Linked DNA regions of Alligator mississippiensis. The protein of the gene in region 1 interacts with the protein of each later gene in a pairwise test. Links are inferred from orthologs where the notes say so. Each region holds a gene or a part of one and is shown on either strand. Other genes may lie near its edges.

Region 1 (7,502 bases):
ATGGCCTGTCCTGTTTTTCTCCCTACTAGCCCACCATATCCTACGGCAGGCCTGTTACTATCCACCTCCATCCATGGACCAGGCAATATCTGGGGGAGAGTATCAGCTCTGATAACAATCCCCCACACAAACTCCTCCAGAGTCAGGGCTCTATCGAGTTTCAAGAGAGATGAAGCAGCTGAGACCTGGCCATTGGCCACAGTACTGACCCACTGGATTTTCTTGTAGAGTGATGACACTTTCACCATCCCAGCTGGGGCCCATGGTGCTCAGCTGAGTAAGAACTTGGCTTCTGTTAGGGCTGTCGCTCTAATGAAGGCACACCATACAGCAGCTATCCCTGGGGCAGCTCTTGTCATCTCAGACCCATAGGTCTTCCCAATGGGACCCCCAGGGTCCTGGGGGAGGGGATTCTTCATCTCACTTGGGATCGCCATCTCTCCATAGCCCAGGACCCCACTCCATAAGCAGAAGTGTAATCAGCTCCTTACCTGTAGGCACAGAAGCTGCCTTGTTCCCTCAGATCAGAGAGGACTCATTGCTCCAGCCTGATCTCTTCCAGGGCAGAGTTTAATTTTTAATATGGCTTTGAAGCAACCAGTTCCTCTACTCCTACCAAGCTACTGCTTCAAGCAACTTCCTCCCCATGTACCAAGAACCACTTCAAAGCCTAATCCCCTCCTACCCTGACTCTTTCAGAGCCCTATAGGAAACATCTAGCTACTTCCTAGCTGAGTGTGGTATTTATGCTCTGCTGGCCAACCCCAAGCCTCCTGGCCCTTAAAAAGGCAGGGCACCTTGTTACACAAGGTTTCATGGGCAATCTGTCCTAGCAGACTTCTAGCTTCTCTGGGGTTTTTCCACAGAAGACTCTACCTGACAATATCAGAAAGTAAATAAAGGGTTAGTTGGATAGATCATTGTATTAACACAAAGGCTGATGGAGAATGAGATCCGTCTGTTTGTTGCAAGAAAAGATGGTGTCCCAGAGAAATTATAAAGCGTATGGCCTCTCTACCTCAACCATGGAGGGTTTATCACTGTGCAAGGAAAGGGAAACAATGGGGACATAAAAGGAATCACCATCAGTCTTGAAGTAAATGGAAGGCCCTGGGAAATTGCCACAACTGGGGAGTGAGACTCTTGGCTTCAGAGTGGGGTTCAGGCACTGGACCAAGTGAGAGCAGGAAGACCATCCCATCTAAAGTGGGATGGGATGGACAGACCTATTCTGATCCACACCTTAAACAAAGCTAAAGAAGAACCATTTGAAACAGGTGAGATAAAGGACTTGCTTATTCTTGTCTAGGAGTGTTCAACCTGCAAGACCATCCCACCTTCTAACCTCACTTTGCCACTGTCTCACAAAGAAGCAGGGTCAAGTCCTAGGTTCTGCTGGACCACAGAAGGACTGAAAAATGTGGGGTCCTCAGGGATGTGCCAGGGTCAGAAATGAGTGATGCATTCTCTGGAGCAGGCTAGCAGGGGGTTTCAGCCCACAGCACATACAACCACACTGAAATGCAGCACCCCTGTGGCTTGAGATGTGGCAAACAAATGTCCTGGAGCATCACTGGTAGACAGGAAGAAGAATGATGGTCACAACCATAAGTTATATCAGTGACACATTCCCTTTTCTAGACAAACATCTGGAGAGGTAGCAGGCTGGGCAGATCCTGCCCAGTTTGAATTCAGGCATTTCAGTGCCTTATAGCTGGTGCTTAGACCACCTTTTCTCTTACTGCCCACCTTACCCACCTTTCTTAACCGTGGGAAGCATCTCATCCTTTCCCTGTGGAAGCAGCACACTCTTTCCATCCTGCACAGACATAGGTTTCTTACCTCTGGTGAGGAGGTGTGGAGGTCCACAGCTGGCAAATGTCTAGGAGAGTCTGTGGATGCTCCTGGAGTAACGTGTGAGTGACCTTGCAAGGGGGTTCCCAGTGACTTCAGGGGCATTGGGGATGATGGCCGTGGTGTTTCTGCCCCCTCTTCCTTTGTGGATGGCTGGGGTGAAAGGTGATGGGATGAACTATGTGTTTCCTTTGGTACGGGTGGGCGGTGCTCATGAAAGCACACACTGTAGGCCAACCTCCCACAGTGCATTGCCAGCTTGTCATTGCCCACCCGCAGCAGCGCCATGATATCGTCGTAACGGTACAGATCCTCATCCTTCTTGGCAAAGAGGTTGATCCGGGGCTGGTTGGTACGAGGATAGATGGCAAAGAAGGCTTCCCCTGCCCGGAGGCTGTTCTTCATGGAGGCACCACGGAGCTGCAGAGCTTCAATCCGGAGCCGCACATCGTGGTTCTTGTCATTTTTGCAGAATCCTGGCCCCCAAAACCCACACAAGCACATGTTACAACAAGCCAAATCCTGAGCTGATTGTACTGCTTGCCTCTCGAGAGTTGATCCTGCCTGCCCACATCTGGTCCAGCCGCACAGTCCCTTGGATTTCTCAAGTTCCCAACCTAATCCAACCCTCCCTATGCAAAACCTGATCCAGCCCAGCTTGCTCATGGGCAAATATAGCATTGGCAGAGAAGTACCTGGGTGTCAATGAAGACCCATCCTTCACAGTCAAGGAACCAGTGATGAATAGGGAAGCTCTGAGTTGGGGAGTTTAGACTTATGTGAGACTGTATGGACCTGTCCCTTCCTCTCCTCCCTTTCCCCCTCGCACGCAACCTCTCACCTTTGGGCAGAGTGAAGATAAATTTCCTCCTCTCAAAGGAACAGATCTCATTGGGGTTGCTCTGTTCAATGATGTCGGTGGTCCCCACGGTGGTGTACTGGGCGTCTCCCTCATTCACCCGCAGCTTCACCCCAGCCCCAGACCCCTCCAGCAGCAGGTTCTCCACAGTCAACCTCAGGGCATATCTTCCCGTTTTATTGAACTGCACATTCACCACCTCAAACTCAAAATCCAGGGTCTTCTCCTCGGCCTTCAGACGTGACCTCTGCAGGGTCATGGGGACGCGAGGTTCTGTGGCCTTGTTGGCCATCGGCACAGCCTTCTCCTGGGAAGGAGTGGGCAATAATAATAAGAGAACCACTAACAATAGCTCTGTTTAACTCCTCTACAAAATACCCAGAAAAATTTGCCCCACACTAGCACAAGCCCCTCTTTTTGCTGTGTCAAGCAGCCCTCTTGGCAGATGTCCAAGACCCTGTTCAGTCACAGGTCAAACCACCCATGACAGGACCAGCAGTGCCAGCCTTTCTAGTTAATGCCACAGATTTGGACTTTCTGAGCAGAGTCCTTGTTGCTGCAGGCTTCCCCCCAAACCCTGCCTTTCCTTTAAACAGCGTTTTTCCTTTGCAGCAGGGAAGTGCCTGGAGCTGCCTGTCAGTGGCATGTCAGCTTCACATCTCTTCAGTCAAAGGAGGTTTTCAAAAAAAAACCCCAGCCCTGAGGGGCTGCTTTGCACTTGCACACCTTTGGTGATTCTGGGAAAGTCAAGAAGCAGCCGGCTGCTAGAGCAGAGCACGCTGCATAGGAGAGAGAAAGAAAGAAAGAAAGAAAGAAAGAAAGAAAGAAAGAAAGAGGGAGAGAGCGTCCTGTCTTACCTGCTCCACAGGAGGGGCATGAGGAGGAGTGGGTGCTTTGAACTCGGTTTGTTTGTAGCGAAACCAGGTAACTAGATGCAAACCTGCAGCCTGGCTTCCAGCAAACAAAGCTGAAGGAGGAAGGTTGTGTTCGGGGAGATAACCAAGGCAATGCCAGCAAACACCACCCTTCTCTTCCCCACACAGACCATGCTATGAACTGGAGGAGGTCTCCATATGACAAAGGGGTAGGGCTGGGTTCAAGGCTGGGCCTGATCCTGCTTATGGGAATCCAGTGTGTCCAGGACTCTCAACATTGCAATAAATTCTTCTCACTGAACTTATTTTCTTAAATCTAGTTCTGGCTGGTTTGCCTGGGGACCGTTTGGGTTTGCCCCTATGCTGCCCACCCAGAGGTGGTGAATGCCACACTGGAGTGGGAAAGGAAAACCATGACCCCTGGTCCTGGTTTCCGAGAAGCTGGGGGAGCTGGGGCTGCTCGTGTCTGCAGCTTTCCACTTTGTGGCTTTCAAGGAACTTGCACAGAAAGCTGGTCCATTAACTTCATTTGCTCGTATGATCCAGGGTGTACTGGGCTGACTTGGGGTGGGTGGGCATGTGTGAGCTGCAGGGGTTCCTGGACGCTCCCCCCAACCCTTTGCTCCACACATAACCAACAACTGTGCTCACTTTCTCCCAAGCCTCAGTTTCCCCCTGTGCCTCACTTTCCCTGAAAGGCTGGGTTTTTGGTTGCAGCCGTGTTGGTTTAAGGATGCAGGCAGGCAAGGCACAGACAGGCAAGGTTCTTTGGGTAGATGTGGTATCTTTTATAAAATCACATCTACCCAAAGAACCTTACCTGCCTATATCCTTTTATTTTATAAAAGATATCACATCTGCCCAAAGAGCTTTGCCTGCCTTTCCCTGAAAGGGAAATTTAGGCTGATAGCCCCCCACTCCCACATCTATTGTCTCCATTACTACATAACAACCAGCTGTGTCCTGACTAGACACTCATTTGCAACCCTTCATCTTCCCCCCACCTCAATACCTAGAAGAAGGGTCCGGGTACCTCCCTCACATCTGGCCACCCTAAGTTGCCAGAAAACGTGGGCATCCACAGACAACTCAGCCTCCTGGGAACCCAGAAGGGGTTGTGTGTGTATGGGGGCACAAAGCAAAAAGAGGCCAGGTTATCAATGGACACTCCCCTTTTTACTCATACCCTTTCCTGGGGCCATATCAGAATTGGCAGGCATTGAGATAATAATGGCCATAACTTCAGCTGGTGTAAAAGGGTGTATGTACCCTGTGACCTCAAAGCAGCTTGACTAGTTTAGGAGCTATGCTGTTCTCAGTGGTGGCAGGTGACAGAACAAGGATCAGTGGTCTCAAGTTGCATCAAGGGAAGTTCAGGCTAGATATAAGGAAGAACTTTCTCACTAGGAGGGGAGTAAAGCACTGGAACAGGTTACCCAGAGAGGTTGTGGACTCTCCATCCTCATAGGTTTTTAAGACCCAGCTAGACAAAGCCTTGGCTGGGATGATCTAGTTGGGGACAGTCCTGCTTTGAGTAGGGGGTTGGACTAGATGTAACCTTCTGAGGTCCCTTCCAACCCTCATTTTCTATCATTTTATGACCTGCCTTTGAGGGTTCCTTGTACTATGTATCTGAAAGCTTTCCCTGGCACAGTGATCCCACCCTCATGTAAAATGTAATCCCCCATGCCTAACACTCTACCATGTTCCCATTTATGAACCAGTTGCACCTCAACTGTAGAGCTCTTAGATACTTAGGATTCCTGTTTCTTAGGAAATTATGACACTTAGTCAAACTGCTTCATTACAATACAATCAGGGGACACTTTGATCTAGAACAGGGGTGTCAAACATGACCAGCAGAGCTGTTCTGTACAGCCTGCCAGGCTACCTGCAGAATTTGGGGACAATGTCCTGTTGTAGGGTCCCCAAGCCGCACTGGGGCCTGGCTGTTTGTGACAATGGGGATGTGCTAGGTCTGTGCTGACACAATCCCACTTACCCTGCAGACACTTGGCCAGCTGCTGCCTCCTCCCTGCCATTACTGTCCCCAGACCTCTGCTGCCGCCTCCCCATTGCTGTCATTGCCGGACTCCCACCACCACTCCTGAACCTGCTGGGTTGCAGCCTCTAGCTCCACAGATATGGCCCAGGAAGAGCCCTATGGTCTGGATCTGGCGTAGGGATTGGGATGAATTTGACACCCCTGATTTAAAAAACAAAGGAAGGTATTCCAAACAGGATTAAGTAGTGGCTGTCCTTAATTGATTGTAAAGATGAGACAGAATGAGAGAACATTTTACCTCCTGTACGATGTCATACTGTTACATATTACCACTATCCATGTAAGTTATGTCACCACAAAAGTAATAGAAACAGGAAAAATAAATGAAACCTGGAATGCAAAGCTGAAATAAAAATAGGCCAGTTAAAAAAAAAATCCAGGGAAACTTTGGTTGAACTCAACATATTCTTGTGAAAAGTTTTGGTTTTCTCAACACTGCTTGAATGAATGGAAAACTGTTTCACTGAAAATTTTCCAGCTGGCTCAACTCTGCTGTGGATTTCTACTGACTCCACACAAAGTCAACTCTTTCTCAATCAAGTCTACTAGTGAAGACAATGGCAGTGCTTCCGATTCACACCAGTCTTACTGGAGTTTGGCCTGGTGTTAGCAGCGCGCAGCTGGTCTTAGCAAAACACATTGGCTCAGTTGGCTCCAGGTCATGTTTCACTGTAAATACCCCTAAGGCAGTCAGAATGCAGTATACCAATTATCAAGCAGGGCATGGGCTGTAATGGAGGGTATAAAAACCAAGGCAATGATCAGACTAGTGCCATTTTATATGCTCCCAGTGCCCTTCTCATTATTGCTATTCCTGACATTCTTACCCAGTTCAGCTTAAGCATTAATATATTTGTGAACTAATTAGCAGGGATGTAACTGGGCAGTGTTGTGTCCTGGGTGGTGGCATGGTAGCCTTTATTGATGGTAGCATGGTGGCCAGGAGACTAGTGGTGGGAGCTGCTATTTTTGGCTTCCCCCCAAACTGGCTCCCAGGGCTGGTGTCTGAGTCACCATCACTTAGTTACATTACTGCAATTTAATATCTAGATCAATCACTCATTATTAGCTAAGCATTGGCCAATCTTCTATTCATGCCTCAAGAAATACTGGTTTACTTCATCCAGATTATCATCACTTTAGTGCTGAAGAAAACACATACAGAGGCATGGGGCTGAACTTCATCTCACTTAAGACATGGACATATGTAAAGCTTAGACTGGTTAAACACAACTTAAAACATGAGCAGACAGATGTACAAGACAGTTTAGACCAGTTTAAACCTCTTGCAAAGGTTCAAAAGTGTACCTGAGAAATTGGATACCATTTTGAACTGGCGCTACATGAAGCAGTTCAGTGTTACAATGGACACCAAGCATTCCATGACTAGGATCGGGTTAGACCTCCAGATTCCCACAGTGCATTGCTCCTCATCCCCACCCCCACCCACTGTGGCAACTGGCCACTCTGGTATGTCACCAGAACTCTACTGCCCCTGGAATCAGGCAAAAGTCACTTGGCCAAGCCCAATACAGGTAAGGGCTGGACAAGGCCAGTCCCGCTCCTTACACAGAGGCAGGGCAAAGAGCCTCTCGGACCTGACTGAAGCTTGCATCCTGCAGGTCTGGCAAGTCTTTGGAGGCAGAGCTTCCACAGTAAATAAAGGAGCTGCATGCCCAGCATTCAGCAGATACATCGAGGGACAGCGAAGCGGCAGAGGGCTAAGAAAGGCTGGGGACAGCTGCCCAGCAGGCGGCATCTGTAGCCCAGAAGAGCCCCCAACAACTCCCTTGGCAGGATCCGGAGCGGCGAGCAGCTTTGGCTACAGCCCTAGCCCGTGCACAGCACG
Region 2 (7,017 bases), on another chromosome or scaffold:
CAGCCGTGCACTTCACCCATGGCATGTCTCAGCTTGGTCGTAGAGGGAAGTGGTAGTAGGAGCATCTGGGTACTAGCACTGGTCCAGCTTTACCAAGAGCTGGGTCTTTCCACAACCAAATAATGTTTGCAACCCCTGGCTTAGAACAATATGGAAAAACCTAAGAGCAGTAAGGATTTCCTATTACAGGATATGCAGTTAGGTCAAGGGATCAATTAAACCCTTATAAATTTATAGTGGCAGTGTTATATTGGTATTGCTATTTAAAGTATTCAGTGAAACAGAAATTGCTGGGCTAGGGAAGGAAGCAAGTAAAAGCAAAGGACATGAACCAGAGGCCAAGATAATGAAGGAAGAATGAGGCTTAAAACTTAAAGAAATAATGACATCAGAAGATAAAACCTTAAATTTCTATGTATCCATTTCTATGGATCCTTCTTGAAAAAGTGTGCACGTGTCTGCATGTTTAAATTTTGAAGGACCTGCCCAGATTCTTCTGTTCTTTTTAACCACTTTTCCATAACATATATAGTTTCAAGTAAAGATAGTAAAATACATCTCTGCTACCATCATAGAAATTTTCCTCTACAGAATGGATATATACCCAGCAGGTTTAACTTAAACCAGGCATATGCAGATTTATGGTTAGGTAAGTCATGTTGTTTAGTCCACTCTGTGGACCATTTTATATAGAAGTAATCATGGCAGTGTCAGTCAGAAAGGTGTCACAGCTCTGCTGTTAATCAGAGCTGAGAGAAAAAAAGTGAAAACAAAAAATAAAAACTCAAACCACAGCTCTCTCTAACCATACAGCTAGCAGAGGTACATAACTGCCTGTTCCCCCCCCCCCCCCTCCCAATATGAATCTTTTAGCATATAGCTCCCTCTTCTGGTGCTGGGAAAATTCAAGTTTGTTTTGTTTGTTTTTGTTTTTAATCTAGTCGGTTAAAATAAATGAAACCAAATTCAACATATTCACAAAATGAAGTCTACAAATTACAGGACAGCCTGTTTATAAAGAGATATGAAAGGATCCAATGATTTATAACAGACTTTTTTTTGTCAAGTCCTTCTGTCACTATTATTAAATTGTACTAACCTGCCAGCTGTTTTTCATTTATTTCTAGTGATCAATAACCATTTTATTCAGGAAAAGGGGCAAGTATAAAATGCAATATTTAAATGGAAGAGGATACATGCTTGTTGCAGTAGTTCTACTGGACAACTCAAAGAAAAACAGAAAATATAGGAACCATGAAACAAGATTGTACTAGAATATTTTTTGTGGAGAGCAGCTGCCATTAAAAACTTGCTATTGGCCAGCAGTGCTTTACAACCACCTCTGAAACTTCTGTGTGGCAACAGTCTCACTGTGACCTCTGTGTGCAACAAAAGTAGGGCAGGTTTCTTGCTGTGTTATGTGAAATGCTGAAGAATACATGCAGGTCTTAACAATAATGACTAATCAATTTACTAATCTGATTATTCAACTAGCAGATTAGGATAAACAAGATGGAGCCTTTGAGTCTTTTAATTTATTCTGATTTACAAAAATCAATAGCAATGCTTTGATTGTACTAGCAGCTGGATTAGGGCCCATGTATGTTGATAAATCATTTCTTTTACAAATCTGAAATTAAGAGCATAACTTTTTTATATTTTTAAGGGAAATATCAGGCTGAATTTAACAAATGCAAAAAAAGCAAGCAAGATTAGGTTCAAGGACTGAAATGTCATGCCTAAACTCCTACAGAATTCAATGGAATGTTTGAGTGCATGAGACAGAATTGGCCCAATTAATAATACTTAGCTTTTATATAATGTTTTGCATCTTCAGTGCACTGGCAAATAATTGCAGCAGAAATCTATGAAGATGCAAAATAAACAATATTCTGACATGCTTAACAGAACAAGGCTGATTTATAGAAACACTGATGATGTGGGGAACTGTAATGAAATTAGTGAGAATGGAAAGACAGGTCATTACTATTTTTAAAAAAAGAACAAAAACTCTGTTATAACTATTTGCTATGTGTTTATTAGACTGTTCTACATCATTTGGTGAATTTGGAGCTCTGGCTAGGGATAGGTCTACATATTCCACATATTCACATTCCATCTGGGAATCCACCCCTTCAAAGAGTGGACAAATTATATATCTTTCTGTAGTGCCAGCCTATTACATTACACTTGTGCAATAAAACTAAGCAAAAGACTAACACTGTTTTTTCCCTTAGTCCATAATCATGCCTGCACTCAAGTATTTTTCAGAAGGAAATTAAGATAACTATCACTATCTACATTGTTGAAATTAGAAATTCTTTCTGACCACAAAACTTCCTGCTAACAATAACAGAAATTTATGAGCACGGCAGCAAAACTCAAACAATACTATACTCCAGAGACAAAGTTCTGTACAGTACAGTATGAGGTTGTGGAAAATGACCAAAACATCACCACCTCTTCCTATTGCAATAGAAAATAAAGCAAGTTTTGATTCTTTTATACATACACGTATACACACCAAGACAGTAGAAGCTTTCAAATAATACATATTTACACTCATTTTTCAGAAGTTATCATCACTTATAAAAATCTAAAGCACTTAACATATTCTGAAGATTTTAAAATCTTCCCTGATTAGTCTAGATAAGCAAACACTATATCTAAGTAGTCAAAGTATAGTTTACATATCTGGATAAACTTTACCGAGCGGAGGCAAATTGGAAAGGAAAGGAAAGGAAAGTTCAAACTAGTTGTGTACTCAAAAATTACATTTCTTTTCAGACATATTATCTTTTCAGGTGGTATGCACATCTGCTGTTCTACAGCTTCACCCTGGGTATGACAACAACTTCTATCCCAACAGGAACATTAAAAAATTAAATCATAAACTCGCAAGCATATTAAATCCCCTTACCCTCAGGCTTGCTGGGCTGCTCTCGCTTCTCAGTGTTACAGACATATGTGTAAACAACAGAATTTCCTGCATCCTTTTCTCATCTGCAGAGCACTGGGGTCTTGGCCAACAGGATTATTCGCAGCATTAAGGCCATTCCACAGTAACTTGAAAAACAATTCCCATTGGTCAGGATTTATCAAAACTAATGCCACAACATTTTTTTTAAATACAGGTCATTCACTCAAAATTAAAACTGTGCTTATTATTGTTTACTAAACATTGCTTCTCTTTGTGTTTCTAACCCTTCTTTCATTGTCGGTTATAAATTATGACCCCAATTTGTTCAAAGATTTCAGAATATTCTAATCTAAGTGTACCATTGACTTCAATGATTCATTTCAGAATTAGCATCTTCAAATGAAACAAGGCCACTTATTTATTTTGGTGTCTTTCAGATTTAAAAAAGAATAACCTTGGGGATGGAAAAAATCCCTCTTACATTTTTGTATAGCAGTGTTTGTGAACCCCCATGCCCCACATATCCACCACCTGCCCCACACAGTGGGGGGCTGGGGTGTGAGGGGCACTGGGTTGGGACTGGCCATTAATGTTTACAAATGGGTCCTGATACAAAAAAAGGTTGAGAACCACTGCTGTATAGTACTAGCACACCTTGGGTTTTCCTGTGACAAACAAACTACTTATTAAGGCTGCAAAACAACAAAGACTTGTGATATACTACATCAGTAGTAATCAACCTCCAGGCCATTGGCCAGACCTGGCTCATGAGGTCATGTCATGCAGCCCATGAATCTCCCCATGGGTCCAAGAATTTGGTGGCAGAGGAGCAGTGGCAGCATTAATTGCTGCTCCCCTGTTGCCAAATTTCTGGAACCTCTAAGCACTGGTGGAGTTGGAACTCTTAGGGGCATAAAGTCAGACATGTATGTGATGTAACAGGTCATGAGTCTCTTGAGAAACTTAATATTTGAAGTTTTTAATTTAAAAAGAAAACTCCACACATGCACCCTGAAAAATCCCATGATTTCAGGGCCTAGGTTGTGCCATAATTCAATAACTTTGTTATAAAGCCTAAAACCCCTAGCCTAAAACTCCCTAACCACAGATTTAGGATCCATTCTTGTATGTCATGTAATAAGACATGGTAGTGCTAGAGACATGTGGTAACTGTAATGGTCCAGGAGTTATGTGAGAGGCAAGGACTTTTTTATGTGATATATTTTATTGGACCAGCTCCTTTATTTGGAATTAGATAAGCCTTTAAATGCAAAGCATTTTTCTTCAGGTCTGAAGAAGAAAGCAAGCACAGAAATTGTTAGGCACAGTGGGTAGATCTATGAAATTAGAGAGGGAGAGAAATTCCCAGGGGTAGCAGACAAAGAATTAGCAGAAGAAAAGAAGATCAATTGATGGGAGATCAAGACCTTTCAAGAGGAAAAGGGTCATTATCACCTGTAGTGTGTAGGAATAATTTCAGGAATCAGGTAGATTATAGTGTGTTATAAAATCAATATTGGTGTTCAGTCCTCAGTTCCTAGTGTCCAGCCAGCTTATGAATTTCTGTTCCCAAGCTCACCTTTTAAAGGTTTTTGGTAGATATCCCTTGAGCAGGAGAATAGTGAGGTCAAAAAGGAAGTGCTTGTTCTATAAAACATGTGCTCCTTATCAACATGTGTGTGTCTGTGTCCTTTATACTGCTTCCCGTGAAGGTTCACTCTGGTCTGGGACAGACATTGCCTAAACCAGTTTGAGCCAAATCAGTTAAGTCTGATACTACGTTCAACCAGGTTTATCTCAAACCGGATTCAGCCATTTTCAAACTGGTTTATGTGCACTGAACATCTGTTGTGTTACAAATTTAAACAAGTTTCTGATCGTTTAAACCGGTGTGTGTGTAATGTCTGTCCCTAGACTCCAATGCATAGCTGTTGATTAGTTTCATCCATGTAATTTCCATGAGGGCATCTGGTACATTGAATCAGAAATGTAATTTTGGGAAAATATGTCTCTCCATGAATTCTGAATTGTTTGTTGTGGCGGAGGGGTGTGTTGATTATAGTAGAAGCGGAGATGTGTGTTGACAGTTTAAGCATTTATTGCTAAGGCTGTGTCCCACTTGATGCCTGTTGAACAGTGAGGAGTTTGCCTCTGACAGTGAACTGGGCGAGAACTGGGTTCTCTGAAAGCCAGGAGTGGAGGGGCATGGAATATTTTCCCTAATGTCTCATCTTTGTTGAGCAGAAGCTGTGGTTGTTTCTTGATTCTTCTAATCAGTTCTAGTGTGTGGTGGTAGGTGGCAACAGTGGGGTTTCTTTTTGTATTGTAGCAGGTTACTGCAGAGTATTTCTTTCAAAGGTACAGTCTATTTTGGTACTGTAGGGTCCTTGCATAATGACAGATTTTAGGCTGCCCAAGTAGGAATCACTACTATTTTCCTCGGAGCAGATACAGTAGCACCTGAGGGCTTGACTGTAGCTTATAGCTTCTTTTGCTGGTCTTGTGAACATAAATATGGTTCTCCATGGGGGTTTTTTTTATATATGGTTTCCAACTATCCCCCCTCCATAAAACTTTCTCTGTAATATTCCTACACTAAAATAAATTTTCTTGATGCCACAATCCACATACAGAATGGCACCCTAAAAACCGCAATATCCAAAAAAAAGAGGTACTAGACTATACTGTAGGCACTCCATAATCACTAATGTATTAGGGACAAGCCCCCACACAGTTATGCACATTACTTGAAACATATTGCATGCTATTTCCATGACATAGTTCATGTTTCCAGCACTCACCATAACACGTTTCCTTTGGTCTTTTGTGTCATAACCCAGTGAGTTTGGTGCCTCGGCACTATGGAATTTTCTTGACACACGAGAGTCTCTTGCACAGCGAGGGTTTTTGCTGCATAGAGAGCCCGCGTGCAGGAGAGAGTTCCCGCCACTTTGCAGCTGTTTTTGCAGGATGCATTCTCTTTGCAGCACAGAAATGCATGGTGCAAAGAGTTCCTGCCATTCGGATGTAAATTTGTGCCCCGTAATTGGCTAGTGCTAAATTATTCACACGTGGCGGCCGGTAATTGGCTTGCTGGCCGTTTAAAAACTAGCGCGACTTCCGCCCAAGTCAAAGAGCTTTGAGCACGCTGCAGAGTGCCTCGAAAGAGATCCGACTTGCGGCTAGCTGATCGATAGACTGATCACCTATCGATCCTTCTTCCCGTCGCCGAACGCAGTCCCAGACGTACCCTTTTTCCACCGGCTTGAATTACGGACGAATTTACTGGCATTGGCCTCACCAGCTGAAGCAACTCACATTGTTGTCCAGACGACCAAACCGTTTCCGTCGCAGCCACCCGCGACGTAAGTAAAGTTTTTTACAACCATTAAGCCTTGTCAGCCTCTCCATTCACCAGCCCGCCCTGACGAACGAGCAGTTTTTAAATCACCTCGAGTCGGCTCAGCCCGGCCGAGACATTTTGTAGCTGTGGGGGCCAAGGGGGAATCGAGGATCAGGAGTCCTTGGGAACGCTAGCTGGGGTTGCGGCTGCGATCCCGTGACGGGAAGATGGGTACTCTCTATCACCGGAGCAGAATTAGGCACAAACGAGACATGTATCAATTGGAAAACAGAGGTAGCTTTACTTACACTGTAGAGTCGTATACAGCGCAGGCAATCGTAGTTGCAACAATTCTATTCTCTAATCGGTAATCAAGGAGCTCTTGTAGACAGGGTAGCTCGGGTCTAACTCGGGCATGCAACACGGAGGGTACGTCGCAAGGCTTCGCCGACGGGGAGTCGTTGGCAGGTGATCAAGCTGCCGGAGTTCCACTCCAGGGGGAATCGCAGAGTTCTCCAACTAGGGCGGAAACGCCCCTAACCTTTTATATGGCTAGCGAGCCAATTGCCAGCCGCCACATGGGAATAATTTAACATCAGCCAATCACATTATGCAAATCTGCATTTCCTTGGCGGGAACTCTATCCACGTCGGAACTCTTCACCATGCCAAGACTTCCCCTGCCTTACCGTGCCTTGTGCTAGAAAGTTCCACTGTGTCGAGGCACTGATTCAAATCAGCTCTGACATGCCCCC
Region 3 (7,541 bases), on another chromosome or scaffold:
GAAAACCAGGATCCCTGATTATGACTGGCATAGCTAGGGAGCAGTAAGATCTCCCACTGAACTTTCAAATTAGGCTCCTTAAAGAATTGTATTACCCCTGGCTGTGGCAAAACAGGTGCCTAGTTTCCACTGTAGGTGACTCAGAGTCTGAGATTATAGTCCAATTTCCCTATGGATGCTCATTTTTGAGGGTTTCCAAAACTACTATGACACCCTGGAAGAAAGATCATGGTAGTTTTTCCAGTATGAAAGTCAAGGGTTTTTTGCTCTTTGTGGCAAAAAATACTAAAGGAGACAAGGGCAGATCCCACATTTGCATTTAGCGCAACTCTTTGCACATAATTTAAGTGAGGAGTCTAACTAAACTTGCTATAAACATATACAGAATATTAACTAATTTACAAGGGTGTAGGTTGTAGCCATATTGATCTAATGAATTAGTTAGGCAAGGTTATTTGGATAAATCCAACATCTTTTATTAGACCAACTAAATAGTTGGAAAAGATTTTCTTAGCAAACTTTTGGGTTTAAAAACCCTTCGTCAGGCTGAGGAACCATCTACAGTTAGTGTGTGCTCTTCCTGGATGGAATGAATAGTAAAGAAGCCAGAGGCTGGTGTGCACGCAAGAAAGGTGGCCAGTGAAAATGTAAAATGAGGAGTCAGTGGGTGAGAGAGAGGCTGGGGGAATGAATGTAGCAGGTAAATAGCAGAGAGGTACCTAGAGAGTCAGATGCCAGGCAGGCTGTAGTGTGTCATAAATCCAATGTCTATATTTAGTCCATGATTATTTTGTATCCAGGAGGCTGATGAAGTGCAGTTCATAGGCTTGTCTGTGAAAAGTGTTTTGTAAATTCCCTTTGAAGATTAGAACTGAGAGCTTGGAGAGAGAGTAGTTTTCTTGTGAGAAATGTATCTCCACAGGTAATTGGGTATTATTGTCATTGATAGATTTCCAGTGTGCATTCAGTCTGGTGTGCAGTAGTTGTTTGGTCTCTCCTACATATCTTCCATCATGGCATTTGGTGCATCAGATGAAATATATTACGTTTCTGGAGGTGCAGCTGTAAAATCCAGGAATGCTGATTTTTTCCTGTTGTGGGGTGTAGTAACTGTGAAGGTGGTGGAGATGTGTTGGCAGGTTTTGCATTTCTTGTTATAGCATGGTCTGTATCCATTCGGTGTGTTTTAGGCGGTAGGAACTTTGCTTCTGGAGATGAGGTTAGCGAGGTTTGGTGCTTGTTTAAAGGCTAGGATGGGTGGTTCTGAGAAGATCCCTTTAAGAACTGGATCTCCTTCTAGTATGGGTTGCAGCTGTTTGAAGATTTTCCATATAGGTTCGAGGGAGGAGTGATATGTCATAACCAGTGGCCTGTAATTCATGGGGGTTTTCCTTCTATACTGCAGCAATTCTTCATGTGGTATCCAGGTGGCTCTTTCTAACACGTGATCTCTCTCTCTGGAGTGTTCTTGCTGAGTGAAAGCCTTTTCGAGATTTGTGAGGTGGCAATCCTGGGTGTTCTCCTCAGTGCAAATTTGGTGGTATCTGAGGGTTTGGCTGTATATCACAGCTTTCTTGGTGTGTTTAAGGTGATTGCCAGTTCTGTGCAGATATGTATGTTGGTCTGTGGGTTTCTTGTACAACGTGGTCTTTATTTTACTATTCTGGATACTGATAGTTGTGTCTAAAAAGGACATGTTGGTGCTGAAGTACTCAAGAGATAGTTGGATGGAGGGGTGATGACTGTTGAATTTCTGATGGAACTCAATCAGAGATTGCAGGTTTTCAGTCCAAATGATGAAGGTATCAGTATAATTTAAGCATAGCAAGGGTTTGATGGTACAGTCCCTGAGGAATTCTTCTTCCAGATTCTCTCACAAGAAAACCACTCTCTCTCTCTCCAATCTCTCAGGTTTAATCCTTAAAGGGAATTTACAAAACACTTTTCATAGATGAGCCTATGAGCTTCACTTCATCAACCTCCTGGATACAAAAAATCATGGACTAAATATAGACATTGGATTTATGACACATTATAACCTGCCTGACATCTGACTTCCCAGATACCTCTCCACTATTTACCAGCTTCAATCATTCCCCATTCCCCCTTGCCCCCCCAGCCCATCTCTCACCCACTGACTCCTCATTTACATCTTCACTGACTGCCTATCTTCCATCCAGGAAGAGCACACACCAACTGCAGATATTTCCTCAGCCTAAGGGTTTTTAAACCCAAAAACCTGCTAAGAAAAAAAATTCCAGCTATTTAGTCTACTAAAAGATATCAGATTTACCCAAAGAACCTTGTCTAACCAACTTAAAACAGTTTTACATCTAGTGCTGCTAGAAATAGGGATTATCTAACAGGTAGAGCTTGGTTTTATACATACTTGACTTATAATCAAAGAACATCTCTTGTTCCTGAAACCAGACCCTTAAGGGAAATTACAATCCTAAAATTATTCCCCACCGTGAAGGCTCAGTGTGGGTTTATGGGCACTCGTTCCATTTCCAAAGAAAATCATCAGAAAAACTGCATGGGGTTAGATTTTGTGAGCAAGTTAATATAACTAAAAACAAAGTGTGAAGCTCTCATCTGGAAGAAAAGGCACAGGACTAGTCATATAGGAGGATTTAACAACAACTACGCACTATTTTTGTATCCCGTTACAAATTCACGAGCTCTTTGCCCATGCGCACAGAGCCGAGAGGGCGCTGGGACCCGGCTCAACGACCCCCAGAGCCCCCCAGCCAGACCCCGCCTATGCGGGAGCCGCACGCGCGCCCCGCTCAGCCGCTGCTTTTTGCTCTTTCCTCCAGGTCCTCAGCAAGGGGGCAGGCGCACTACGCATGCGCGCACGGGGCCTGCCGGCAGGACCTGCTACGCTACTGCCACCCCGCGCCGACCTTCTCACGCCTCCACTCACTGCCGGGACGGGCCGCAATCCGGCCCTTCAGCGCCTGTCTCCACTCCATGCCCCGAATCCGCCTCCCGCTCTAGCCACCGCGCATCCGGGCTACTGTGCCCACATGATGTGGCCCGCTACCACCGCCATCTTAGGGGCTGCCATGCCTCCCTGCGTCACGTGCCCAGCACGACCCTAACTCTTGCCCACAATCAAGATGGAGTCCAAAGGCCACTAAGGTGATTCTAAGACGCCCTCCTTTCATAGGATCCCGGCGGTCACGTGCACAATACCCTCTTCCGTGAAGGAGTTCGGCGGGAGCTCCGATTGGCTGAGAGGCTCTAGCTTGAAAAGTCTGCTGGGTACAGACCGCTCGGCCGGCTCTAGCGCTTCGGTGGGAGTTTAGCAGTGGTGATAGGTTGGTGCTTGCCACGCATGGGCTCGGGTCGGTCAGTGGGCAGTTTTCAGCGAGTGCGCAATCGGCGCAAACTCCAGCTCCAGCTCGCTTTGCGCTACGATGGGGTGCACATGTTCCGCCGCCGCCTCACGTTGCATGCCGAGCACTAGCTTTTCCGGAGGTGGGGTGAGGCCGCCGAGACCTGCCTTGGCTGCGGATCCACGTGGGTGGCGGAGGGGCCAGGGATCGGCTCCCGGCCTCTGCCCTGCACCGAGCGGGCGGCGTCGACACGCACAGCTTGGATGGTAGTTACCTCGAGTTAGCGCCCTGGCTCCCTCGGTGGTCTCGGGGTTCATTCGGGCTCTTCACAGGTACTGAGCGCAGGCCCATGGGCTTGGGGCCCAGGATCCCAGCACAGCAGGCTTGTCTTGGGGCAGGACCCGGCCTGTTTTTAGCCCAAGCAGGTGCTGGCGAATGTGAACGACCCCGGGTAGTCTGAGGTGTTTGATGCAGTGATGACCCCATGTCCCTCAGCAGGTTGATCGCCTTGTTTGTCCTCCTTGGCATATTGAGCTGCAGGTGCCGCCTTTCTCAGCACTACCCCCCCACCCCCAGTGTTTGTGTTTAAATTCCCTTCTATCTGGAACCGCTGCTTTCTGGAAGTCCCTTTGTAGCATCTGAAGAAGCAGGATGTGCCTAGAAAAGCTTACGCTTCTCTGAAGCAGTTAGTCTTTAAGATGCCCCCCTGCCCTGCCTTCTACAGAAAAGTGTGCCTTCCTGAGGTGCCCCTTACTACAAACTGGCCGGCAAAGCAGGTGATGGCTGCTACCAGAAAGCATCCCCTGCTTAATGGGGAGCCTAGGCACAAGTTTTTCCTTGTTCCTGTTCAGAGTAGACAGTTCCCACTTACTCAAACTTTATGGACTTGGGGTAGAAACTTTGTGTTATTGGCAGCATCTCGGCAGTCTCTAGGCACGAAAAGTTGGGATCTCGACCTGAAGTGGTTCAGTTTTTGTTGTTAAAATGTAAACTGAATTGAATTGCTGGATGTTACCTTTGACAGTGGTGCTAACGTTGTCCTTTGTGGTCTGCTTTTTATTTTTAGGGACTCATTTCCTTATTTGGAGGGAAGCAGCAGAAGAGCTCTGTTTTTGGAAGCTGTATTGTATTCCCCAGTTCCACATGCATGTATGACAAACCTTAAAGAGCATTAATGGTAGGACAGCCACAATAAACAGCGATTTGCAGGCCTTTTTCTCTGGAAGAAAGACATCCTATTTTTTTTATTAATATTTTGCTCATTTTAAATGTTTCTCCATTTTGGCATCTTTTGTTTTCAGGAAACTTTTAAGATTATGTGCCCTTTTGTTTAGACAGCCCTTAGATTTGAATTATACATTTATTTGTGCAAACTGCACTTACTGTGAGATCTTTCCTGGAAATCTTCCCCAGCATATTGATTTCTTATGGCTTTCTTCCTTCAAGCGAGTAACTGGGGTTTGCAGACTTTCCTGGGTAGATGTTTCCTGTTCCAGCCTGCTTCCACTTGTCAAAAATCACTGGCTCTCATGGTTCACCTCCGCAGTAGGGATCAAGTTAAAGGTTTGCCTTTTACTACATCTTCCCAATCTGCAGTACCTCAGGATCTCAGAGGAGTTCATATGCTGCACAAGTCCAGATCTGGAAGCAGAGATGGAGAAAAAGAAAAAAGGAAGGAGAGCTCCAGGGAAGAGGACAAGAAGAAAAGTCTTATGTCCCCGTTCTCTGCTGGAGCTGCCAAACACCGATCAGTGAGGCAGCGGACACCTACATCTATGAGACTGCCTAGGTTGTCTAAAAAAGATGATATCCAGCCTCCAGAAAAACCTTTGAATGCTGAGGAGTGGCAGGAATGGAGGACACGATTAAAGCATCTTACAAATTTTGAAACTGTAATGTTACGTCGAATGATCAAGTATGAAAGCTCCATAGATGTGGCCAAGTCCTTGATGGCTGATGTGGTATTGAGAAATGGGGAGGTCAAGTATAATTTATTGCTTGGGTACCTGATTCTATGTGTCCAGCAGAAGCAGGTGGCAGAAATTTTTGATATCTATGATATAATTAAACTCAGATTTAAGACTTTAGACCCTGGGTGTTACAGTCTTCTAATCAGGGGTCTGAGTGATACAGAGCGTTGGAGAGAGGCCATTTTGCTACTGAAGGAGATTAGAAAAGTTACACCCCCCTCTAAAGGGAACTATGGATATTGTATCAAAGGGGCTCTCAATAATCAAGACGTAAAACTGGCATTAGAATTGTATCATGAAATGGTGGCCGAAAATGTGATGCCACACATGGATGTGCTGCAGGCCTTTTTTGATACCTGCAAGGGTACACAAGATGATAAATTAAAAAAAGAACTCTTAGACATGCTTCTGTATTTTAGAGAGAACCAACTCTATCCTAATGAAGCTGTTATGCAGAGTATAAAGCTGTGGTTTGAAAGGTAAGTAATGTAATTTCAGAAGTAATTGACTAGAGTTGGTGAAGGAATGGGTGACATTTCCTGTTATCCTTTTATCTTGCAGAAACTCTAAATAACCCTGCCAGCCTCAGGATGAAAGCAGCTGTGTGTAGGTGGGGTGGTGCTGGCTCAACATTATGATGTGATGGTGCAGTATTTAAGGGGCCCAGTACTAGCAGTTCAGTGTCTTTCATGAAGAAAGACATCCTCACTTCAGAGAAGGTCTTAAAGGATTGTGTGCTAATGGGAATTTTGTTCCCATTTGATGTATCACCACCTACCTCGCCACAGAAGATAAGGGAAGAAACTAGATTATGGGTGTGATGGTGGTAGAAAGCAATTTAGTAGATGCCTAGATACTGTAGTAATTTGTAGTATAAATTATTAGATTAACCTCATTTCTCTTGCTGCATGTTTCTTCTCTTGTTATTTTCTCAGACCCAGATCCTACATCAGCAGTGTTCTAGGAAAGCTTGGCCCATGGGCCAGATATGATCTGCACAGCCATGTCATCTGGTGGCCTGCAGGGCTCCCCACTGGTCTGGAAATTTGGCAGTGGGGGAGTGGTGGCAATTAACACTGTCACTGCTCCTGACCCCGCACTACTAAATTTCCAAGCAGCCATAGGCCAGATGCCATAATCCTGCACCATCTGGCACAGGGCCCAGTTTTGTGGATTCAGGGACCAATCTGGCACATGGAGCTGGGACGTAATCTGGCTAGGTTGGCCATCTACACTGTGTTGGGCCTTGGCTGGGCTAGTCCCATGCTCTGGATTGGGCCTGCAGATTGGATCTGGTCTGTGGACTGACCCTGTGCCACTCATCTATCCCACAGGATAAGGTTGGGCATCGTTGTTTTGCATCAAACCAAAAGGAATTTGGCTCTTTATTTCATAGGTGTAGAACAAAGCTCTCACCCATTTCTGTATCTAGTGCCAATCCAATTTCATTATATTTTGCTTTCTTCTCCCTCTTTCTTTACCTCCACATCTGATGTTGACCTCACAACTATTGAACTTTGGTAGTGCCAGTTACAAGGACTTCAGTATTCCCAATTTCTTAAGTACCTTGCTGAAGTCAGCAGCTTCAAAATTGCTAGTGTACATGCTTCCTGGTCAAGCCAAACTTTAATATAGAGGTGGCTTAACTGTCAAGAGCACTGTGTATATTGTTCAGTACTGATTCTTTGAACAACAGTAGTTGGAATATCACATCACAAGGTGTGACTTATGAAATATTCTCTATAGCAGGGGTGCTCAACCCCTGGCCTGTGCTGGGGATGTAAATATTGTTTAAAAATTATCTGTTTATTATCCTCTAATTATACCGGTTAAACAGTTAACCGATAATACATACCTAGTCCTGGCCTGAGGGTGCAGAGCCCCGGGCCAGAATCTACCCTGCCCTGCTAGGGACTACACACAGACCACTTGAGCACAACTGCTGCTGGGATCTGCTCCCCAGTATCTTTGACAGGGGCAGGAGGAAGTGGCAGCAAGCTTCCCCTCCCCCCCAAAAGCACAGCCCATGTGCAGTAGGAGCAGGTTAAGCGCTTTCCCAGCTGATTTAAACTTTTAAGTAACATGTTATCTCTCTCCAGCCAGCTTCCTGGCACCTGTGAAGGAGCAGCTAATTGCTTAATTGACCAGTCATTAAACAACCTGCTATTTGTATCTCTAGCCCTATGGCTATGGGTACTAGTCCCTCCTTGCTCCTCCCTCCTGCCTGCCC
Region 4 (7,508 bases), on another chromosome or scaffold:
CCTGGGGGTAGTGTCTCCTTACAGCCAGGTATTCAGAAAGTCCTTCTTGGGGACTCTTAGGTGTTGAGAGTGGAGATGCCACAGACTTCATCTCTACTTCAGTTTTTACAGGTGCACTTGCACCCCTTTCTCTCCCTTGGGTACCTTGACATTAGTATGCTTGTCACCTATAGCACCTTTGGCAGGACTCTCATGCATTCAGTCTTTTGTCTCTGCTTAGGTATTTCAGTCTCTCACCTTTTACAGGTTCTGCTTTATAATGGAAATGTAGTTCTCTGCTTTCTCTGGTCACACAAGCCCAAGTAGTCTGGGATCCTCTCCTGTCCCTAAGCTCCCTGTCTCCAGCACATAAAATGATGTGTGCACCAGGTCTTTGCCAACACCTCCCACCTCTCATCCTGGTCTTTCAGGGTTTGATCCTGTGCTCACAGGGCACATCTAGATGTGGATGGTTTGGTTCCCTGGGAACAAGTAGCAGCAGTATACCTTGAGCCGCTGCTACTTGTCCCTGGGGAACGCCGATGCCACACATGCTTTAGCACATGGCAAGTTACCGTCAGAGCGGTAGGGAAGGCTGAGACCAGCACTGGGCTGACCCCAACTACCTTACCTGGGGTCTTGGGAGCCTCCCAGGGCTGCAGCTGCAGCAATGCTGCTGGGCAGAGCCTGGCCAACAGCCACAGCACATTTCCAGGTGGCTTCCCTTTTCAGCAGCACATGCTTCCTCTTGTCTTGTTTCCCCACCACCCGGTGGTATTTTGACCTCTGCCTCTCCCATTTAGTAAAGTACTCACAGCTTCTCTGATCTTCTTACTGACATACTTGTAGAAACCCTTCTTGTTACCTTTCACAGCCCTTGTTAGCTGCAACTTGAATTGTGCTTTGGCCTTCCTGATCTCATCCTTGCACACAAGGAATACTCTTATACTCCTCCCTAGTTGTTTGTCCAAGTTTCCACTTATAAGCTTCCTTTTTGTGTTTTACCTTACTGAAGAGTTCCCTGATAAACCAAGCTGGTCTTCTGCTATACTTGCTAGTCTTCCTGCACATTGGGATGGTTCATTCCTGTGCCTTCATTAAGGTTCTTTAAAAGCACATCTAACTTTTCTGGACTCCTCTTCCCACCCAGGGGAGGCCTCCCAGGGGATCCTGCTCATGAGTTCCCCGAGAGCCATGATGACATAACTCTCAGACACTGCTGTCTCCATACAAGTTCAGTGTGACAGTGCCTCCCATTTAAAGAGTCAGCTTCCTTACTGACAGCAGCAGCATCTGAAATGCAGCTATAGGAACTCCCCTCTGCCCCCCTGGAGCAAGGCAAATGCTGGCCACAAGCAGTGGTAAAGACTAGAGGCAAGAGAGTTGGAGAAATTACAGCCTTGTGATTAAAGCACTGCTGTGATCCTCAAGAGCTTTGGGCTTTATTCCGACTCTACCACCAACGGACTACCTGTATGACCCTGAACAAGTCACTTATGAATACACCAGTAATTCTCAACCAGAGCGCTGGGGTTGCTGCACAATATTAGCACTGTTGGGTGTGCAAACATCTACACATGATAAACAGGATAAACCCAGAGATTTCCAATGGGAATCTAGTGTCAAAACCATTCTGACTTGTGGTCTTTCTGGGTTCTCTGCAACAGATGAATTGCTCTAGTATTTTTCCATAGCCAAGAAATGAGTGAAAGCTAAGAGCTGGCATGTCCTGAGGGGTGCTCTGAGACTAACGAGAGATGACCCAAGTCTAAAAAGGTGAGAACCACTGGTCTACACTGTGACAGCAGAGCACTGAGTCCTGGCACGGAAGAAGCAAGCCCCGCATGACCCTTCTGTGTACAGAAATGAGGTAGCGACCACACCTAAGAGCCCCCCCCCCCGCGACACACTCCAGATGTAGGCTATTGGAGAGCTCACGAGCTGAGGCCCAAAGGTGCCTCCACCTGCCTGGTTCGTTTCCAGGGATGACACGGAGGGGGCGAGTGGGGCTTATTTCCTTGGTGGCATCTCTGAGGACATGGCGGCACTACCCCCCCCCCCCCGCACTGCCTCTGGTGCTGAGCACCCGGCTCTAAAATGAGGATGACAACAAGAGGACCTCTCTGCACAGCTTGAGGGTGACCTCAGCTGTTCAGCTTGAGGGCGACCTCTGATCTGCCCCAACAGGCGCAGGCTCTGCTTCTCCACAGCGTCGACCAGGGGGATCAACAGGTGCGAGAGGAGCGGAGGAAGACTCTCCCACCCCGCTTCCCCTCCACACACACACACACACACACACACACACACACACACACACACACAGGGGCACCCACCCCCCACCCAGCCCCTGGGCAGGAGGCGGCAGCTGCAAGGGGGCCGCCACTTCGTCTGCAGCTGCTTCTGGCCGCCGGTGCCGCGCCCACCTGGCCCCGGCAGCCCCGACACCGCGGGCGCAAGGAGCCGGGGAGGCGAGCTGACAGGGATGGCGGGCGCGGGGGGGCGCCCGGCTCCCCTTGGGACCGGGTCAGGGCTGGCTGCTCTCCCGCGCCGCGGGCAGCCTTGTGCCGAGCTCGGACGAAGGTTGCACGGGATGGTTTGGACGGGCTCGGGCCCCACCGCCGCTGCTCTCTGCCCGGCTGGGAGGACCGCGCTGGGGGCAGGGAGATGCCGAGACCGAGCATCCCGCGGCGCCTCCGGCTGCTGGAGCCGGCGCGGGCGCCCCGGAGGCTCCGGCGAGGCAGAAAAGGGCAGCGAGAGGCAGCAGCAACAAGTGCACCCCGCCTCTCCCGCCGCACTCACCCGCCTGTCTCGGCCCCCGAGTCCACGCACTCATCGTCGCCGCCCGCCGCCTTCTCCATGGCGGGCGTCAGGGCTCCATGCCCGCCCGCCGGCCCCTGTGGGGCGGCCTCCAGTGCCCGCCGCCGCCGCGGCCGCTCCGCCCCGCAGCAGCTGGTCCCTGCCGCGCGCGCCTTCCCCCGCCTCCCTCGCACGAGTGTCAGGTTTTATTTAGACAAAGCCTGGGCTGGGCGAGCGAGCTGGAGGGCCCTGCCTGGAGCAGGGGGCTGGACGCGGGGAGCTCCTTTGCTGCGATCCCCCCGGCCCCAGCTCTCCCCTCCCTCACACGGGCAGCTGCACGGGGGAAGAAGACCCCTTCGCCTTCACCCTCGCCCTCTCTCCCTCCGGTAGCAAAGCTTCATCCCAGCCCGCTCCGGCTGGCTCCCATGGTGCCCTCTCTCCCAGCCGGTCGGAAGAGGCCACGCTTCCGCGAAGCCCGGGCAGGGGGATGCTGGAGGCTGCAAGTGCCAGAGGGACAGTGGGAGAAATACCTCTCCCGCTCCGCGCCTGTAGGACACGGGCCTATTTGTCACCTTTTAGTCCCTGTGGGACACAGGAGGCTGGGGCGGGATGCACCTATGGTCTGAGCCAGGACATGGCAATTTTGTTATCTTCTTAGGGATGAAACCCTGCCTGAAGTTTTATTGACTGGGGTTGTTTCCAAAGATGCCTGTGGGCTTAGCTACACTAAGCTGCTTGCCCTCGAAGCAGGGAAGAGAGAGTGGAGGAAGGGAAAGGAGAGGAATCCCCTCCTGCCGCCCTCTCTCCCCTGAGGAAAGCCCTGCAACTTGTGCAACCCATCTGTGGTGCAAGGGTGGGCCTCTTGACCTCACCCCAAGACTCATCAATAAGTCATAGTAGAGACCATCCTCAAATAGAGGGATTGCTGACAAGCAAGTTTTACCACTATGGCTATACTAGTACTGCTAAGATGACCACAGCCCATGTCCAGTGTAGATACTGTTATATAATGGCACCAAGGAGCTTATACCAACAGAGCTTATTCTGCTTTTATGGTTCAGGACATGTAGTAAGTTATGTGGGTATAAGGTCACAGGCAAAGGGCTGCCTCAATTTAGCTGCTCCATTGGGCTAATGTGGTTAAGACATGCTGGCTTTCTGTAGGTAGTGGAATCACAAGGGAGTGGTATCTCTCATGTCCTAGGTATAAGGCACCTTGGCACACCTATACCCATATCAATTATAGGGTTTATACTAGTACAGATATTTTAGTAAATATATACTCTCTAGGTAGACAGATATAGATACTTATATTTATATCTATCTATATCTATATCTAGATATATATATTACATCCTTATTTTACAACCGGGTGCTCAGCACCAGAGGTGTTACAGGGAAGGTGTAAAGATTCTCTCTCTCATCTTTATATCTATATAGAGATATAGATATATATAAAATATATAGTATCTATCTATCTATCTATCTATCTATCTATCTATCTATCTATCTATCTATCTATCTATCTATCTATCTATCTCCTTAAACAACATAGTTATACCAGTATAACTGATCTAACTATTGTAGAACTGGCCTATGTGATTTGGATGCTCAAAACCCATTGAAAGATAACAGAAGTTAGGAACTTTAAAACCCATCAGCACCTTCGAAAACCCCAGCCATTTTCATTTTCTGAGCCTCTCCCTAGTTGTTGATATAGATATGTGGTGCTTTGAAGAGAAGCTTTATCTTATCACCATATTTCACCTAGAGCTGGGCAGATAATAGTTTCCCCAGCCCACAAGGTTATTTGCGGTAATGAAAATTCCTGTTCTACACTGGGACAAAACAGATTTTTTTTAAATAAAGTTTTCTCCAAAAGTTCTAAGGCTGTAGAGAGATCTGCTTGAGAGCACCCAGTAGCCTAGTGGGTAGAACATCAATTTAGGATGTAAAAAGCATGATGGAAACAGATTCAAAGCCCTACCCTGAGTCAGGCACGCAGAGTTTAAATTCAGGTTTCCTACTGCTTGGGAAGTGCCCTGACCATCAGGGTAAATAGTTGGTATTCTGGGTATGGTTTAATTGGAGCAAGGACTTGAACCTACATCTTCTGTCTGCTAAATCCATTGGACAAGAAGATTAGTTTCCCTCTCCCACTCACTTCTTCCCTCCCACCATTCAAATATTCATACAAAATGAAACAACCCCAGAAGGAGTGATTAAGAAAGGTTTCACAGGGGGTCTGAGGGACCTGACCTCATATTCCTGCTCTAGAACACCATAAATATCTGAACCTTGCCAGCAGAGGAAGGAGAACTGGCTATCATATAGTGGCTCTCTTTTGGGTTTTGAGAAGAAATTCTATCCTGGGGCTATGGAACTTTCCCTAAAAAAGTTTTTCAAAAGTTTGAGGTCTGACAAGTTGGTATTTTCTGATGAAAAAATCTCAGCTAAATCTATTTATACAATCTCATTCTTCAGTGAGTACACACTTCCTGTTAGTGAAAACTTTGCTTGTAGAATGAACGCATACTCAAGATAACAATACCAAGTCTTTTGCATTCTTTATTACTATTTTACTGTGATCAAGGAAAGTGGTGATTGTTTCAGGAACATGAGACTTTTAAAACTAGATTATAGAAGAAACTAAAAAAATATATACTGTAACAGACAATTATGCATTGAAAATATGAGGCACATTATGCTGTAATGACCACATGCTCTTTCCATCTCTATTTTCTGTAATAGTGCAACCACTGATTCTGTTATTGGACCACAACCAATTCACCTGCATTAGTGGCAGCAGAGTTGTCAGTGTTAGTGTAGACAAAACACAGGCATACAGTAATACAAATAAGGAATACAAGATAAGTGTTAACATTGTGTCATCTAGACCTGTTCTAAGCAGGTATGGTCTAAACAGGTAAAATTCTGCACTGCCAAAGGAAATGGCAAATATCTCTTACATTCACAGTGTTAAGGGACAGACTGTCCACCCCCTTATCTAGGTAGGGTAATGTCACTGAAATCCATGGATTAGTTCCCATGTACAAAATTACATATGTGCATCCGTTTCTGAAGGATTGAAACCAGGGTGTAATGCAAGCCAGTATGAATCCTGGTAGTAGAACCTGCTCCTAAACCAGTTACTCCTCAAATCACCCCATGTAGTACTAGGTCGAACCAGAATCCTGGTGCTCAAGTCTTACTGTTTCTGAGCTTTGGTCTGCATGCACACATTGGTAGTTAAATCAGTGCAAATCTGTTTAAATTGATTTACTTTAAATCATTTTAACTTTGATTCCAAATAAAAAATGAGCTAAAATGATTTTAGGCTCTTTTAAGCTGATTTCAGATCACCCACAAAAAGGGAGTGGCACTATACCTTTTTAAATATTTAAAACAGATCTGATTAAATTTGTGCAATTTTTGCATGTAGATTATTAGCTGAGCAACAGATAGATCTTTTCTATGTCTAACTTCCATGATTTTAATTAGTTATGTTTAAGCACTGGCATTTCAAAGGATCTGGAATATATCTTATGCTGCATTTAAGATTAATTTGCTCCATCTGTCTCAGGGAGGGAAAAAAACCCCAAAAAACAAAACACATTTAAAGGAAATATATCATTAAGATAGTAAGTAAAGCTACCACAAACTCCAGGCTCTCTGTATTTATATGTTTGCCTCATTTAACTCAATTTTACTCTGGTCTTTCATATAATTATGCTGAAAGGAACACTTTTCTGCAAAAAATTCTGAGCATTTCAGATTCTAATGAGTGAGGTACTAAGGCATCTCTGTCACTTTGCTGTTTCTCATTTACCAGTTCTTCACATTAGTTCTTCATTGTGGTATGTTGAAAACATTCATTTTAATTTCTTCCTTACATTCTGGAGTCCAGGTTAGCACTCATGAAGATTGGAGTAATGTTCCCACCTATTTCTGGGAAAATTTCCTGATAGTCTGGCTTTTCTGTTGTGTAGCATCCAAGGAAAGTGCTCATAAAAACTATCAGAGAACAAGCATTGCTATCAGAGGCAATCGTCAACAAAGTCAGCAAATAAACTGTTCTTTTCTAGTAGTTTTACATTAAAGAAGCCCAGCTACTAAAACAGGAAATTTATGTCAGCTCTTTAGGCAAATCTTTTTTCACTAGTTGCTTACTGCCAGATCTTTAAAAGGATTTAGGTGCTTAAAAAGGTGTTTAGGTGTCATTTAGACACTTTAATCCAAACCTGCAATCCTGAAAACATTTGCTTAGTTGCCATCTGCCCTCAGCTCCACAGACACTTTACATTTTTACTTTAAAGTTCCCCAGGTGCCTGAGGTTGCATTTCTGCCCCATCCAGAACTTCCCCAGTCTCAATGGAGCTGAGCTGGTTGACATGTAGATCATGCCTAGGTCCAGTCAGGATCCAGAAACTAGGCATTCATCGAGTCCCCTAAAGGGCTTGTTCTAGGAGACATTCCTCAGGTTTGCCTAACACACACTGACAGGATCAGACTCTGTACAAAATGTATGTAACCTGAGCAGTACTCCAAGAGGTACCCCTCTTCAATTGAAGGGATCAAAGCAGGTGCACAAGTGCTGCGGGAGGTGTAGGGATTCTCCTCCTCCTATAGAGCAGAACCAGACCACCAATGGGGACTTAACCATATACCTTTTAATGAGAGAACAGTACTGGGAACGTAACCAGTATAAACCAGGAAGTATAGGGGACACTACA

What was found.
Region 2: the proteins of CCDC33 (region 1) and CCDC102B interact in a two-hybrid assay, tested with the Homo sapiens proteins (2 studies listed by BioGRID). The two-hybrid records come from large-scale screens. The link is inferred for Alligator mississippiensis from reciprocal best matches to the Homo sapiens genes CCDC33 and CCDC102B.
Region 3: the proteins of CCDC33 (region 1) and PPP2R3C interact in a two-hybrid assay, tested with the Homo sapiens proteins (2 studies listed by BioGRID and IntAct). The two-hybrid records come from large-scale screens. The link is inferred for Alligator mississippiensis from reciprocal best matches to the Homo sapiens genes CCDC33 and PPP2R3C.
Region 4: the proteins of CCDC33 (region 1) and FAM124A interact in a two-hybrid assay, tested with the Homo sapiens proteins (2 studies listed by BioGRID and IntAct). The two-hybrid records come from large-scale screens. The link is inferred for Alligator mississippiensis from reciprocal best matches to the Homo sapiens genes CCDC33 and FAM124A.

Annotation. Positions count from the first base shown.
Region 1 is NC_081834.1:42,251,645-42,259,146, forward strand, and holds the start of CCDC33 (coiled-coil domain-containing protein 33), read right to left. Parts: upstream 3,021-7,502; 5' UTR 3,006-3,020; coding exon 2,696-3,005; intron 2,331-2,695; coding exon 1,843-2,330; intron 1-1,842.
Region 2 is NC_081826.1:103,260,319-103,267,335, reverse strand, and holds the start of CCDC102B (coiled-coil domain-containing protein 102B), read right to left. Parts: upstream 3,023-7,017; 5' UTR 2,921-3,022; intron 1-2,920. UniProt on the Homo sapiens protein: During interphase, forms fibers at the proximal ends of centrioles to maintain centrosome cohesion. During mitosis, dissociates from the centrosome following phosphorylation to allow centrosome separation. Contributes to CROCC/rootletin filament formation.
Region 3 is NC_081825.1:256,630,313-256,637,853, forward strand, and holds the start of PPP2R3C (serine/threonine-protein phosphatase 2A regulatory subunit B'' subunit gamma), read right to left. Parts: upstream 3,017-7,541; 5' UTR 2,976-3,016; coding exon 2,927-2,975; exon of another isoform or gene 2,907-2,926; intron 2,731-2,906; exon of another isoform or gene 2,652-2,730; intron 1-2,651. Other genes in the region: PRORP (mitochondrial ribonuclease P catalytic subunit), read left to right, coding at 4,769-5,790. UniProt on the Homo sapiens protein: May regulate MCM3AP phosphorylation through phosphatase recruitment. May act as a negative regulator of ABCB1 expression and function through the dephosphorylation of ABCB1 by TFPI2/PPP2R3C complex.
Region 4 is NC_081824.1:415,959,022-415,966,529, reverse strand, and holds the start of FAM124A (protein FAM124A), read right to left. Parts: upstream 3,022-7,508; 5' UTR 2,838-3,021; coding exon 2,779-2,837; intron 1-2,778.